Lonchura striata: one gene and its partner. The protein of the gene in region 1 purifies or fractionates together with the protein of each later gene. This does not show direct contact. Links are inferred from orthologs where the notes say so. Each region holds a gene or a part of one and is shown in the gene's direction. Other genes may lie near its edges.

Region 1 (7,744 bases):
ACCAAGAAATAACACCTCAGGATTGCCAAACCACCTTTGATTTCTTTTCTCATAGAGTTATTATCTTTAATTTTGTCTCTGCCACCTGCCTGAATAAATTTTAATATATCATTCTCTGGTGGTTTTCGCAACAAGATGTAACTGGGACAAGGACTGTAAGAACTTGAAAACAGTAATTAAAGTGGGAGATAAGATTAATCTTAGCGGTGTCTTCCAAGAAACCAGCAACAGAGCTAGGTTATTCCAGTTATGTAAATCTTTTTAAGCTGAATGACTGAAGAGAAATTTAATTTTCAAAGAACCAATAATGTTTGATTGCACCGAGTCCATTATCCCTTGATGAGGTGATAGCCAGGAGAAAGTGAAACTACTTTCAAAAGCTTCTATGTTGATTCAGGCAAGATCCAAAGAGAGAATTCCATTCTCTATAAAGTACAGTACTGGTGCAATGCAGTGAACAGGAATGCTGTCCTTCGTGGATGCACGTGATGAGCTGTCAGAACAGAGGGCAATCTCCCTTCTTTACCAGAAAAGTAACATTGCTGGAGGAAAGTCCTTGCATCAGAGTCTGATGAGAAAACAACCAATAATGGAGATAAGGGAGTGCCCTGCTTAATACTTTATTTCAACCCAAACCTTTTGGAATTGTAACTTTTAATAAGGATCTTGGCAGCTTTAGCTGGGCACATTAATCTTAAGAAAGTAATGAATTTAGGTCTGATTCCCATCATCCCAATGGGTGGAAAAGATGAATGACTACTCAATCTGATCAAAAACCTTTCTGGTATCTGCAGATAGATTTATGGCAGAAGCCTTATTTAATATAACAGAGGTATACACATAATAACCTTGTAAAATTATCAAGTTCCACATTTATTCTATATGAATCCCACTTAATCATAGTGGGCCAGTTTAGGAAGAACTTCTGAGAGTGAAATGAATTCTTTGTTCTTTTGCCTATGACAGTGAGTCACAATACTAAGGCAGGTCCCAAGCAGGTATTTGACTCTCTATAGAGTCAAACTCATGCAGGGCTCATTCTAGAAAATGGCCAGACTCCCAGAGCAAGACTACAGAGAGCCCTCAAGTGTTGCCTTCAAGGCCTTTTACAACTTAGTTCCTTATTTCCTGGGCTTGTACTGTGGCTATACAGGACCTTGTATCCAGATGGACTTGGAAAACCATATGCAGTGCTGCACAGTTATGATGACCTCCTAAAAATGCTCCTTACCTTCTCTCACATGCTGTCTTCTGCCTGAGGCACTGTTCCCAAATAGATCTATGCAGTTGCTAAGCCGTCTGCATATCCTATGTTAATAATGCTGAGGTAGGAGTCTTGTTTAATACCTCGCCTACTCAAAGACAAAGCAGAGAAGCCATGAAGGATAGAGGGTGATACATTTTGTCACCCAGCCCAAGAAAGAAGGAAATAATGAAATCCAGTATCCTTAGGAAGCTATTATTCTTCTTGAGAGAGCTGCCTCTTCTCTCTGAAAATATTGTTGGTATTTTCCCACACTAGGCAACAAAAAGTGTAATGGCTGAAAAGAAAATTACTCCAGTGATTTTAATGTAAATAATAAGTTGTCTGTTTGATATAATTTAATTATTTAATTATCCATGAAACTCCTAATTTCTGGCAGAAACCTAGTGTACATGAAGGTAAAGCAAAGTTACTGACTTTGGAGCTAAACTGTCTCCAGAAGACAGTCACTATCCCTGGAACTTCTTGATTAAGCCAGATGAAGCCTGGCTGAAGTTAACAAGAAATACCAAATCATAACCTACATACAAAATTGGATTTTGGAGGAAGATCAAAAGCCAATAGTTGTTGTAGCCACAGTATTAGTAGTAGTAGTAGTATTTCTTAAATGCTTGTTACATAATAGAATAGTCTAAAATATGCAGCATAATGAATGTCTTTTAGAACTCAGCCTTCTGATAATCAGTTTCCGAGACACAGATTTTAAAGCTGATTGGGCAGGTGCTTGGTGAGATGCTAGAAAGTGTCTGTGAGATTAAAGTTTCCTTTGAGAATCATAATAGACATTTATCTGTGTAAGTGCCCCTACTCCATTAAAATTCAGGTCCACAGGCCTTATGACTGATGGTGCCATCAGATTGTGCACCTAATCTGATGAAAAGACAGGCAGTTTACAGACGGAATGGTTCTTCTCTTTCTTCATTGCCCCAGCCTCACGGCCTATTTTCCTTGCACTAGTCTGAATGATCATGTAGCTGCAGAGCAAAAAGAGAAAAAACCTATTCTCTGTTGCCTCTTGAGATAGCACAGTTATTCAGCCCAGTGCAGAGGAGCATCAAGGTTGATACCCAGGTGTACATACCTCTCTGATTTCCTTTTTTCAGTTTTCTAATGTTATTCAGAAAAGGCAGGAAGAAGTTAATGATTCAGGGTATTAAATTAGCCAGTGGATTTAGAAGTGGTGAGTGTGCAGTAAGACACTGCTGATGCTGCTCACCCACAGAGTAATGGGTTTGGACAGTCAGCTCCACCTGCACATCCTAAAGCAGGGGGCAGACTTGAAGTTTTATTCTGGCTAGTGTGCCAGAACAGCCCAGGCAGGGAAGCCTTGAGGAAGATCTGACCAGGGCACACTGTTTCTGCCTTTTCCCCTGGTCTTCTCACACCACTGCTCTGTCTGAAGCCAGGCTACCCAGCCCCCTCCAGGACAACCACTCTGGTTATTAAACATCAGAGAAAGACTCTCCTAGGCTGTTTCATAGCCTTTTTTAAGGAAAGCAGCATATTAATGTGATCCTCCCCAAGCCTCAATGTAAGTAGAAAATAATTTAATTCTCTCATGCCAAAGCCAACCAACCGGTCAACCCTAACAACAACAACAAAAGCAGTAAAAATGTGGTTCTAACAAGACACCTGACAAACTGCAGTGCTTCCCTAATTATCTCCTTGTCATATCTGTTTAGTGTGAATCATGAATTGATACTTCAGCAACCAGGATCCAGTGGATGGAGCTTGTGCCCACGAAGTCAGCCTGCAGAGCACATTACAGCAGAGCTCAAGCACATGAAAGGCCTTTTCCATGTTTTTCTCTGTGTGAGACTGGATCACTGAGACTGCCAAGCTCTTGGGCAGGTACTACTGCTGCATCCACTACTCTTGATCCAGGACACTACCACAGTACAAAAACCAGATATCAGTTTCATGTTTCTCCTGTACTTTACTCGCAAATGCCTTCATTACACTGCCAAACTTTAAAGACCATTCAGTTTGTCTTGAGATAAACTCCACCAGTTGTATTTGCAGTCCAGTGCTGCACTATATCTGTGATTGCACATAGAAAGAAGTTTACTTGCTAAGTGTAGTTGTGTACAGTGCAAGCACAAAATACACATTAAAGCTGATTACCAAAGTTCACTCATCTTGAATCATTCAAGGTTCAAAATTTAAGCAGTAAAAGAGTAATTTTATTCCAGGCTTTCCCCATCAATATTATGGCATCATCCTGTGTGGGAGTTCCTCTACTATTATTGTAGCATAATCCCTAACAAAATTGTACAATTCACCTGTTTGCAATATATGTGGTATTTATGTGGCATATGTGGCAATGAAATGGATGAATTTTAGATTATGAAGTTAGAAAGAAGCGCTGATACCTTCACAGGCATAGACCTGGGTATTTTTTACTGCTGCTGTTGTGCTCCTTCTGTGATCTTGGGCAAGCCATTCCACTTCTGTGTCTTCAGACTCACAATGCACTTGGGTGGGCAGGACAACTGTTCATCTGGTAAAACTCTCAGGGCCTTAAGTCCTCCAGGCCTCAGTGTTCCTGGACTTTAAAATTAGTTTAAAGTCATACCAGAACTGTCTATACATGTCAAAATTTACTGGCCTAAGTCTAGGGGTACAATTATGTGTATAGGCATATCAGAATATTTTGCCACGTAGGAACATCTTGCACTTGTTGCTTGAAATCTCCTTCCAGGAACGATGACTGGGTAAAAGCCAAAGAATCAGTTTCAGTTCAATCTTGCTTGCGCAACACTTACCTGACTACTGTAAAGATCCTGTGAGCGGGCAGGAGAGGCTTGCCATTCCACATGTGAGCTCCAAACTTTCAGTCAGTTCCACTTTGGAGCCGACACTTGCAGATCCAAATGGACTTCAAGTCCCAGGGACAGCGACTTGAGGCTTCATTACTGTGGCTCTGACTGCACAAGAAGCCTCCAGCACTGTAATAGCTTTACTCGCATGAATGAGGACTAAGTGCAGCAATACCTACGGGCAGGAGAATGTCCACGTGTAAAACACCTGGGGTTAGAGAGTGCTCTGTCATTGGGAGGTATTACAGCAATTATTTCAGTATTAAGACTAGACCAAGTCAAGCCTGAATCACCTGTAGCAAGCGGCAGGACATAATCCTGTTCCGTCAGGAATGGACTTTAACTCCAAGTCCGACAGCATCCTCCGCTGTCCCCGAAGCCCCGCTGCCGGAGCTCCCCGGCCGCTCCGGCGGGGCAGAAACGCCTCCTAAGCCCCAGTGACGGTGTCGGAGGGGGCTCACAGCCGGGGCGAGGGTCGGGCTAGGGCACACAGCGGCCGTGCCGTGCCGTGCCGTGCGGGGCCGTGCCGTGCCGTGCCGCGGCCGCTCTCCGGCGGCGGGCGCAGCGCTCCCAGCGGGACCCGGCGGCGCGGCGGCGGGGGCGGGAATTTGGGGAGGATCCCTGGCCGGGCCGGTGCGTGTGTGTATGCGAGTGTGTGTGTGAGTGTGCCGGTGAGCGGCGCGGGGCGGCTCCGGCCGCCTGACGCCGGCCGGGCCACATCCATCCCGATCCCGATCCCGATTCCGGCGCGGAGGAGCTGCCTGCTGGCCGCCCGTCACCGCCCGCCAGCCGGTAACAACTTCGCGTTCCCCCGCACCTCTCCCCGCTCACTGTCCCCGAGGCCGGGCGGCTGTGCCCGCGCATCCTCCCCTCCTCCTCCTCCTCCTCCGCGGTCCTTGCGGTGGTGTTCCCGGCGGCGGGGCCGTGCGGCGCGGCGGGAGCGGCTCCGGGCAGCGGTGCTCCCGCTCGCCTCCCGGCATGATGGCGGCCCGGCGGGGACCGCTCCCGGCTCCGAGTTGGTGGGTAGGTGCCGCGCCGGGCCCGGCGGGCGGCAGAGCCCTTCCCTGCCGGGAAGCGCCGTCCTGCGGCTCCTCCCCGGCCCCGGCCCCGGCCCCATCGCGGGGACGCGGCGGAGCCGGGGCAGGGGCCGCCTTTGTGTGTGCGGGAGCAGCCCTTCGCCTCCCGCCGCGGCCCGGCCGCGTCCCTCTCCCTCTAATTTATCTTCTTTCTTCTTTTTTCTCCCTTCCTTTCTTTCCGCAGCCCCTTCCCCTCCTGCTTTTTTTTCCCTCCCGTCCCCTTCTTTCTTCTTTAATGACAAATCTGCGCTTAGAGGTCAAGGAAAGTTCACTTTTTTTTTTTCTTTTCCCTGTTAGAGGGTTTGGATGCTTGAGATTTTCCCCCTCTTCAGTATAGTTGCTTCATATACTTGTACAGCCAAATAATCTTATCCTGAATATAGATCTTTAAAGCTTATTAAAATTTACTGGCATGGAAATATTCAGTCATGCGTTCAAAATGATCTGGGCCAAATACTGACTTTTTTTTTTTTTTTTTTTAATATAAACTGAAGTCAGAGAGAGTTCTGACCGAGGCAGGGTTGCTGTGATTGCTCTTTTGTTAGAAGATCAATCTGAAGAAGGTACACAGTCCGACCTTACAGTTTGCTTTTACAGTATCTGGATAACAACAGCTTATTCTGAAAATTAATCATTTTTTTGGTGTACTTTAGGATAACATGATGCTCACTGCGTGTCTACAGTTTTATTTGGGGAAGTATTTTCAACAGAGCTTAATGAAAACTGTATTGTTAGAGCCAGATGGGGAGGAGTAAAAGTAAATGTGTATTTCAGATACAGGCAAATGGAAAAGATCATTGCCTGAAACATGTCAGTGTTTAATGGATGTCAGTGTTCAAAGATATTGCACCTTAAAACTAACATGCTTCTTAGGAAAGAGCGGTCATAGCTGATAGTTTGAATCTGTTTTGCACACAGAGGGGAAGTCAGAAAAAAAAACTTGTTTAAAATTTTTTCTTCCAATAATTATATGTATTTTCAAGCAGCATTCAGGAGTAAGATTAAAAACAGTAGCTTACCCAGCCCACAGAGAACACTTTTCTTTGCAGGTGTGTGTCTGTAATTCTTCATGTGGCTGACTGTATGCACCTTGTCATGTCAAACAATAGGAGCAAATCATGTGAGGGAACATAAGTTTGGCTTATTTTTTTCTTTTACTTGTGAGTAATGATTTGGCTGAATTATGGGACGTGAGTTTTTAGTTGCAGCTGATTAGTATTTAATTTCCCCCTTAAACCAGAGAGCAGTGCTATGAAGGTTTTTCAAGGTTCCCATTGGATTTTAGTGCAGGGTTTGGGTGCTTACTTCTCTGTTATGACTGAAAGAACATCAGTATGAAAATGAGAGTGATCTGGCCCTTTTGGGAGTCCTTGCTGTGGTCTTAGGGCTGAAGTCTTGCAATTTACTTCAGACTGTAAGTAGGCACTTGAGAGAAATTTCCCTTGATTTGGGTGATCCAGAAGCCTTCCACAGCTATGAGAAATGATCAGTTCAAGGCTGATCAGGTTACCCTAAGGGTAGGGATTTGTCCTTGCATCTGTTTTGACCCCATTACCATTGGGTATGTAATCAAATACATTTTTTTCCTATTCTGTTCTGTTCAACTTGCTTTTTTGTGTACCCTTGAAGATGTGATGATCTGATACATTTGAGACAAGTGACTGAGTAAACAGATGGAGATCTTTCTGTTTTCATATAAATAGTAACTATCAAATCAACTATTTGAAACTGATGAGTTTGGTGTTTGTTTTTCCTCTGTAGTTTGAAAACAGAATAGGTGAACATGAAGAAAAACAATACAAAGGTTAATAAAAGTGCTACTTGTGTTTCTGAGTACTAGAAAATTATTCAGATTAAACTGTTAATTTCTTTGCTTGCTATAAAGATTTAAATTTTAAAAATGAAGGGGTTATGACTGTTTTGGTTATTTTTCTTTAAATTAAAGCATGAATGCACTGGATATTACATATTGCCAGTATTCTGCTCTGTGCAGCCCAAGCTGTGTGCGTAAAATATCATTTGAGTAGTCTTACAGGCCTAATGGAGGCATCATCTCAGCTTTATAAATAATGTAAGTTGTGTATAATGTGGAGTCCCCAGAGACTGCAGAGAAAGCATCATTACCAGCCTTTTCAACCTGCTGGAGATCTTAAATTGATTTACAGCACTGAACTGGTGCAAAATGATACATCAGGATGACACAGGGTCAACCTGTAAAAGTCTATGATGTGAGCCTGTTAGTTCAGTCATCATAATTAAACCATATTATGAGGGCAGCAAAGCAAGTGTCGGTGACATGTCCCATTGTGCTTGAGATACAGCTGGTTTGAGAATCAAATAAAGAGAGCACCGTGTGTATTATTTAAATTATGTAAAGAGTAGTTGAAATTAAAGTTTGTGCCCTGTGAAGAGTAAAAGCTGAACCAATTTAGGTTGACTCTCAACCTCTTCCTTGCAGTCATTAGGAGCTGAAATAGATGAAGGAATATGCAGCTACGGGATGTATGAGTGGGGAAGTGGCTGTGAATGAATCTCTGATATTTATATATCCTTTTTTTAAGGCTCAGCTAGACTTTACCTGCAGA
Region 2 (7,839 bases), on another chromosome or scaffold:
CTTTGGAACTGGAGCAAGACTGACTGGGGGACAGATTAATCTGATTTTTAGATGCGGCATAGAGAGGCAGAGACTTGAGAAGCCACTGCCACCTTAATGCCACATGACGGCTCCCTTGGCTCCCCCTTCTCCTGCCCTGCTGCTGTTTGGTTCTGCAGAGTCTGTGGGATGTAAAAACGAGGAAGTTTTGCTGTCTTGTTACTGCAGAAGTTGGAGCTTGGTTTCTGTCCCGTCATGGCTTTTGGTTTGGAAGCTGCCACTCCAATTGCTCACTGTCTGAGTATTGCAGATACAGAAACTGAGGCACAGAGAGACTGAGCAACTTGCCCAAGGCAACAGGAAATCTGTGGGAGATCTGGGAATAGACCCCAGATGTCCGGAGTTTTCTGTCTTAACCACAAGACCATCCTTCCTGTCTCTTTGGTAGTCCCCTCTGCTTCAGGAATTCCATTTCCAAATTCCACCCATAAACAATCTTTTGCACGATCCAGTGACTTACTTGCATTAAAAAGTCGTTTGGAAGAGAAAACGGCACCTCTCTTAAAATGAACTGCAGCTACTGCTTTCTGTCCTTTCTTTCTAGGGGATGAAGGAGAGGGAGTGAAAAAAAAAGAAAAGCAACCCAGCTTCCAGAGCTGAGAAGCATTTCCATTGCTATCCAAACTTCCTGCAGGCATTAGTTTGGTTCTTTAAAAGAATCAGGAACTCCAGATGTGATGTTTGAGTTTATCTGGCCATTTGTATTTTAGTGGATTATAAAAAGGCCTGAAATTGCACTAAATGCATCTTGGGAGTGATCCTGCTGCTGGTCCCCATTGTATCCGAGTGTCTCTGGTGACAGTCTGGTCAACTGCCACAGCCCTGGGGGAATTCACTGTGTGTCTGGTGCTTCTCCCCTGTCACACAGTCAGAGCTTCTCTAAGAGGAGACTGAATGCTGGGAGGGGTTTTCATTTCTACCAAAGCACACCCTTCAGTTTGGAAATGGTGGAATGGGTGGATGTCCCTCATATTATCGAAAGAAGACTATAATTTAAAAATTATTCTTAATTAAAACCTTTTAGATTATCCTGTTACCCAGTGGGGAATATTTCTAGCCCTGCTTTCTCTTAATGTGGTAACTTGTTTAGCATCAGGAATCAACAAGGGCTGTATGGCCTAGATTGTTAAATCCCATCTTTAGACCTTGGTATTGTGGTAATATCTAAAAATCCCACTCATGGATCACCAAATCCTCATGTGATGGATTCTATAAACAGAAACTTCAAGGGTCCTTCTTGCTTCCAGTGGCTTCCTATTAAAACAATTTGGTGGAGATTCTCCAAGGGTCTTCTCTGAGCACATGAAGACACAGCTGCTGGCCTGGATCAACGTGTTTGGTTCCTGCCTCTTCTGAAGCCATTTAGCACTTTGAGGCTTGATGTCCAAGTTGGGTACGTGAGAGTGGGTTCCTCTCTGAGGAAATGCTGACTTAGGGGCAAGGTCAAAGCTCTTACACAACTCTTACACACCTTTCCCCTTTATTCTGAACAAGATTTCAGAATAGAAAAGTAGAAATAAAACACAAGAGCTTGGCGTGTGTCCTGCCCCATTACAATGAGTCTGAGTAAATCACAGCGGGTTTGTTTTCCAATTGCTCTTTTAAGCACTGTTTGGATATTTGTCTGTTTGCTCCTCCTCTTTTGTCCTGATGTGTTTTTTCTGCTGTTCCACTGCCATGAACTCTTCCAGAGGAGACTGTCCAAAATTCAATGTCTGTGTCTCTCAGTCACACTCTATGGATGAGCAGGGCTTAAAGTCTTTGTTGAATTTCAAACACGATTAACAGTTGTGCTGGTGTGTGAAAGTGCTCCTTAGCCCTTTTTGGCACACAGTTGACAGAGCTCTGAGATAACAGTGGAAACCTTTTCAGCTTGTTCCTTAATCGTGATGCTAAGATTGAAATGTTTGTTTGACTTCTGGGTGTGCAGTCCATAGAAAATGGGAGAATACACAGGATTTTTGCTTTGAAATTTGTTATTAATAAAAAGCAAAAGCATCTCACTCCTGACCTGAATAATAAATCCATAATGGAGTTTGCAGTGCTGCTGGGCAGTGGGTGCCCATGCCTAGTCATTTGGTGTCTGTGCTGTGGTCAGTTGGTGTCCATGCCCTGGGCATTGGATGTCCGTGCCATGGGCACTTGGTGTCCATGCCCTGGGTGTCTGTGCCATGGTTACTGTGTGCCCATGCTGTGGACAGTGAAGATCCATGCAATGGGGAGTGGGGATCTGTGCCATGGTCAGTGGTGTCCTTGCTATGGTCCGTGGTGAGTGATGTCCATGCCATGGTCAATGACTGTGCAATGGGCAGTGTATGTCCGTGCTATGGCCAGTGTGTGACCATGCTAGGGGCAGTGGATATGTCAGTGCCCCAAGCAGTAGGTGTCCATGCCATGGTCAATGACTGTGCCATGGTCAGTGACTGTCCGTGCCCTGGTCAGTGGTCAGTGACTGTCCATGCCCTGGTCAGTGACTGTCTGTGCCATGTGCTGTGTGTGTCCATGCCCTGGTCAGTGATTGTCTGTGCCATGTGCTTTGTATGTCCATGTCCTGGTCAGTGGTCTGTGACTGTCCTTGCCCTGCTCAGTGGTCAGTGACTGTCCATACCCTGCTCAGTGGTCAGTGGTGTCCGTGCCCTGATCAGTGGTCAGTGACTGTCCGTGCCCTGCTCAGTGGTCAGTGACTGTCCGTGCCCTGCTCAGTGGTCAGTGACTGTCCATACCCTGCTCAGTGGTCAGTGACTGTCCGTGCCCTGCTCAGTGGTCAGTGGTGCCCGTGCCCTGCTCAGTGGTCAGTGACTGTCCATACCCTGCTCAGTGGTCAGTGACTGTCCGTGCCCTGCTCAGTGGTCAGTGGTGCCCGTGCCCTGCTCAGTGGTCAGTGACTGTCCACACCCTGCTCAGTGGTCAGTTGGTGCCCGTGCCCTGCTCAGTGGTCAGTGGTGTCCGTGCCCTGCTCAGTGGTCAGTGGTGCCTGTGCTCTGCTCAGTGGTCAGTGGTGTCCGTGCCCTGCTCAGTGGTCAGTGACTGTCCGTGCCCTGCTCAGTGGTCAGTGGTGTCCGTGCCCTGCTCAGTGGTCAGTGGTGCCTGTGCTCTGCTCAGTGGTCAGTGACTGTCCATGCCCTGCTCAGTGGTCAGTGGTGCCCGTGCCCTGCTCAGTGGTCAGTGACTGTCCGTGCCCTGCTCAGTGGTCAGTGACTGTCCGTGCCCTGTCAGTGGTCAGTTGGTGCCCGTGCCCTGTCAGTGGTCAGTGACTGTCCATGCCCTGCTCAGTGGTCAGTGACTGTCCATACCCTGCTCAGTGGTCAGTGACTGTCCATACCCTGCTCAGTGGTCAGTGACTGTCCGTGCCCTGCTCAGTGGTCAGTGGTGTCCGTGCCCTGCTCAGTGGTCAGTGACTGTCCGTGCCCTGCTCAGTGGTCAGTGGTGTCCGTGCCCTGCTCAGTGGTCAGTGGTGCCTGTGCTCTGCTCAGTGGTCAGTGGTGCCCGTGCCCTGCTCAGTGGTCAGTGACTGTCCGTGCCCTGCTCAGTGGTCAGTGACTGTCCGTGCCCTGTCAGTGGTCAGTTGGTGCCCGTGCCCTGTCAGTGGTCAGTGACTGTCCGTGCCCTGCTCAGTGGTCAGTGGTGTCCGTGCCCTGCTCAGTGGTCAGTGGTGTCCGTGCCCTGCTCAGTGGTCAGTGGTGTCCGTGCCGCGGCCGCGGTTGCGCGGGGCGGTCGCGGTGATCTCTCATCGGTCGGTAGAGGGCGCCCGTCCCCGCTGTGCGGGGGGCGCTCGGTGCCCCGGACACTCCGGACACGCCGGACACACCGGACACACCGGACAGCCCCGGACACACCGGACAGCCCCGGACACACCGGACAGCCCCGGCCCCGCGGGTGGGAGCCCAGGAGCCGACCCGCCTGTGTGCCACCAGCGTGGTCTTAGTGCTGCCTCCGCCTTCCTGCTCCAGCGGGGGCTCGGACAGCCCCAGCCCCTTCCCACCCGCGCTGCGGTTGCGCCTCTCACGCCTCTTCCACGCGTTGAGCGTCGCCTGTGGGTGGAAGGAGCGTGTGACGTGTGCCGGGAGCGGGGAACACATGTGTGTCGGAGCAAGGGAGCATACGTGTGCCGGGACAGGGACGCACACGTGTGTCTCTCGCCTGTAGCGCTCAGTGGGTTGGGGGCTCCGGTGGCGCCCCGAGGATGCGCTCTGGTCCCGCGCGGTTGTCGCCCATCAGTTGCGCTCTCACGCCTGAGATTGCTGTCGGCGCGGGGCGTGTGCCCGCAGTTGACGCCGGGCAGGGCGCCGTGAGTGCCCGTGTGAGCCCGACCAGAGCCGCTCCCGCGCCTGTTCCGTTTCACGGCTGCCAGAAACGCAGCGGCGAGAGGGGAAAAGCCCTCGCCCTACCGCCCCTCCTCGGCGGCGCGGCGGTCCGTGAACCCAGCAGTTTATCCTCCGCCCGCTCCCTCCCTCCCTCGCCGGCGCTGCCGCCGGGGCCGCGCGCCCGCCCGCCCGTGCAGCGGCTCGGCCCGGTTCGGCCGAGCTCGGCACGGCTCGGCTCGGCTCGGCGCGGCACATCCCAGCTCGGCTCGGCTCGGCTCAGCACGGCACATCCCAGCTCGGTTCGGCTCGGCCGGGCTTCGATCAGCTCGGTTGTGCTCGGCGCGGCCGGGCTCGCTTGGAGTGGCTCGGCTTGGCCCGGCTCGGCTCGGCTCGGCTGATCCCGGCACATCCCGGCCGGTCTGGGCGCAGCGCGAAGCGGGAGGCGGGCGCTGTTCCTGGAAGAGCCCGGCCCGGGGAGTTGGTCACATTCTTGGCCGGGATTCAATGACTGAGGCAGACACCAACAAACACAGGGGGGAGGCGGAGGGCGGGCGGCTGAGCCCGCCTGCATTAGCTCAGCTCTCAGGCACTCTCAGTCACTGCTGGAAAGAGGAGCTGGGAGGATGTGCGCGCTCTCACCGCGGCTCCCCACGGCACAACGAGAGCACCGGCAGAAATAAGGGCAGGAAGGCGAACCGAGAGCCGAGGAGCCCTCCCAGGCCGAGCGGACGGACCACGAGGGGCAGCGGAGCCGCTCCTCGCCCGTGCGGAGCCGCCGCGCCGCTTCGGCAGTGCCGGAGATCTGGGCCTTTTCTCCTGCCTTGTTCCTTCCACAGACCGAGCGTGCTGCCTCCTCCTGCTTTTTACTTTCCTCCCCCGCGCCTTCCCTCGGTGGATATGGACAGAAGGGGGATCACTGCAGAGAAGCAGCAGCCGCCAGAACATATTTGAGCCCGGGTGCTCGGAGCGTGGCACAGACTTTTTGTGTTTCTGTGGGTGGTGTGTGTGTGTGTGTGTGTGTGAGTGAGTGTGTGTTGGAGGTGTGGGAGGAGGGATTGGTTTGCCTGGGGGTTGGCTGAGGGGGTGAGTGCTCGGATGAAGACCTCTTTTTGCCGTGATTCTGTGCTCCATCGGGGCAGCTTGGAGACTTGGAGGGTTTGAAATTGTAACGTGAAGCAAGAGAAGAGAAAGAAGAGAGAGACACGCATACAAAAGGATTTATTTCCTCTCCGTTAGTGGATTGCTGAGTGAGAAGGAGGAAAAACACAAGGGTGGGTTGTTTTATTTTGTTAATATTTTTTCCTAAAAAAAAAAAAAAATCCCTTAAGTGGATTTGCATCAGGGTGGAAGATAACTGGGGATTTTTGCTATTTGTTTTGGGAATAGAAACTAAAAAATGGAGACTGTAAGTAGAAGCAGCTTCCAGCCTCATCCAGGACTGCAGAAGACCTTGGAACAGTTTCATCTGAGCTCTATGAGCTCCCTGGGTGGCCCTGCTGCTTTCTCAGCACGATGGGCACAGGAGATGTACAAGAAAGACAATGGCAAAGACCCAGCGGAACCTGTACTGCATCTGCCCCCGATCCAGCCTCCTCCGGTCATGCCTGGTCCCTTCTTCATGCCCTCGGACAGATCCACGGAGAGGTGCGAGACCATCCTGGAAGGGGAAACCATCTCCTGCTTCGTGGTGGGCGGAGAGAAGCGGCTTTGCTTGCCCCAGATCCTGAACTCGGTGCTCAGGGACTTCTCCCTGCAGCAGATTAATTCGGTGTGTGATGAGCTACATATTTACTGCTCCAGATGCACTGCTGACCAGCTGGAAATCCTCAAAGTCATGGGCATCCTGCCCTTCTCCGCTCCTTCCTGCGGGCTCATCACGAAAACTGATGCTGAGAGGCTTTGTAACGCCTTGCTTTATGGTGGCACCTATCCTCCCCACTGCAAGAAGGAATTCTCTAGCACAATTGAGCTGGAGCTCACGGAGAAGAGCTTCAAGGTGTATCATGAGTGCTTTGGGAAGTGCAAGGGACTCCTGGTGCCAGAGCTTTACAGTAACCCCAGCGCAGCCTGCATCCAGTGCTTGGACTGCAGGCTCATGTACCCACCTCACAAATTTGTGGTCCATTCTCACAAATCGCTGGAAAACAGGACTTGCCACTGGGGCTTTGACTCTGCAAACTGGAGATCCTATATCCTCCTCAGCCAGGATTATACTGGGAAAGAGGAGAAAGCTAGACTGGGCCAGCTCTTAGATGAAATGAAAGAAAAATTTGACTATAACAACAAATACAAGAGGAAAGCCCCTCGGGTAAGTGGTGCCTGTGATTTTAAAGGGGGCGGGGGGAATTTCTGTAACATTCATCGATATACCCAAATTGTTACCAGCTGCTTTTCCTTGGAGTCATTTAGCAATTTTAATCGTGTTCTCCATTCTCTCCGCGTGTGTGTCACTGTGGAGGAGCAGTGCTCGAGATGGCACCTTTATTTCTCTGGTTGTTTTCTGACCACGGTGCTTGGAGTTTGTTTAAATTATGTGTGTGTGGTTGTATGTTTTACTATGTGTGGACCTTGATCTTTGAAGCCCATCACACTGCCCCAGACTTTATCTGGCATTGCGTGATTTCGGGTCTTTAAGGGCTTCTTCACTCAGGGGTCAAGGCAAGGAAGAAGCCAGAAAAAGGGAGCAGGTACTGATGCTCCAGACACAAGTCCATGCACTTTTCTGGTCGATTGAGTGTCGCCAGGGATGGAGGTGCGGGCTGAATGCTCTAAATGCTCGAATGGAAATAAAATGTGCCTGTTAAGAAAAAAAAATAAATTGTGCCGGTAGTGCAGGTTAGTGGTTTATAGATGAAGTGTTCAGAACGTGAATGGAGAAGTCCCTGCTTTTAGAGTATCCCTATGGAGCTTAGATTTGCCCAGCAGACAGGCTTTTGTATATTGGATTATGTATACATCCAGCAAATGCCTGTGTCTAGGGCCAGCTGCAGCAGCTCCTGAAGGTGTTCCATGCCGTGCTGTGCTGAGCCAGCCAGCCAAATCGCTTTTTTTTTTAGATGCCACTTGTTTTTATTTCAGTCTGAGCTGCCTTTAGATCCCAGAATCCCTGGTGTGTGGGTGGGAGGCTGCCTTGGCATCTGGCACCGGTCCTGCTCCATGGGCAGCAGTGCCACAAGGCCCTGGGGACTCGCAGACACCGGGATGTCTGGCTGGCTGGGGATGAGCAATTCTGCTTCCTGCTCCTTCCCCCCGGTGCGAGGGGAAAACAAACTCCTGCCTCCCCAGTTCTCCCCTGCAGGTTTGTTGGTTGGGCTCTGCCTCACTGTCAGAGATTTCCAAACTTTGGGGTTTTGTGTCTGGAGTGGAAGGGCAATACACAAGCCTGGAAAAGAAAAAGTGTTTAAAACCCACTATGAAAATTCTGAATTAATTTACCAAATACTTGTTTAAAGGGGCAGACACACACTCTGACTAAGATAGAGCTTTTATTTATAAA

The links. Proteins that work in one complex are often made in the same cells at the same time.
Region 2: the proteins of SMAD1 (region 1) and SKI purify together in Homo sapiens (affinity purification with western blotting, with the first as the bait; 3 studies listed by BioGRID). This does not show direct contact. The link is inferred for Lonchura striata from reciprocal best matches to the Homo sapiens genes SMAD1 and SKI.

What each region holds. Positions count from the first base shown.
Region 1 is NC_134606.1:62,070,556-62,078,299, forward strand, and holds the start of SMAD1 (mothers against decapentaplegic homolog 1), read left to right. Parts: upstream 1-4,725; 5' UTR 4,726-4,875; intron 4,876-7,744. UniProt on the Homo sapiens protein: Transcriptional modulator that plays a role in various cellular processes, including embryonic development, cell differentiation, and tissue homeostasis.
Region 2 is NC_134626.1:2,809,839-2,817,677, forward strand, and holds the start of SKI (ski oncogene), read left to right. Parts: upstream 1-4,831; 5' UTR 4,832-5,614; exon of another isoform or gene 5,615-5,729; 5' UTR 5,730-5,739; coding exon 5,740-6,651; intron 6,652-7,839. UniProt on the Homo sapiens protein: May play a role in terminal differentiation of skeletal muscle cells but not in the determination of cells to the myogenic lineage. Functions as a repressor of TGF-beta signaling.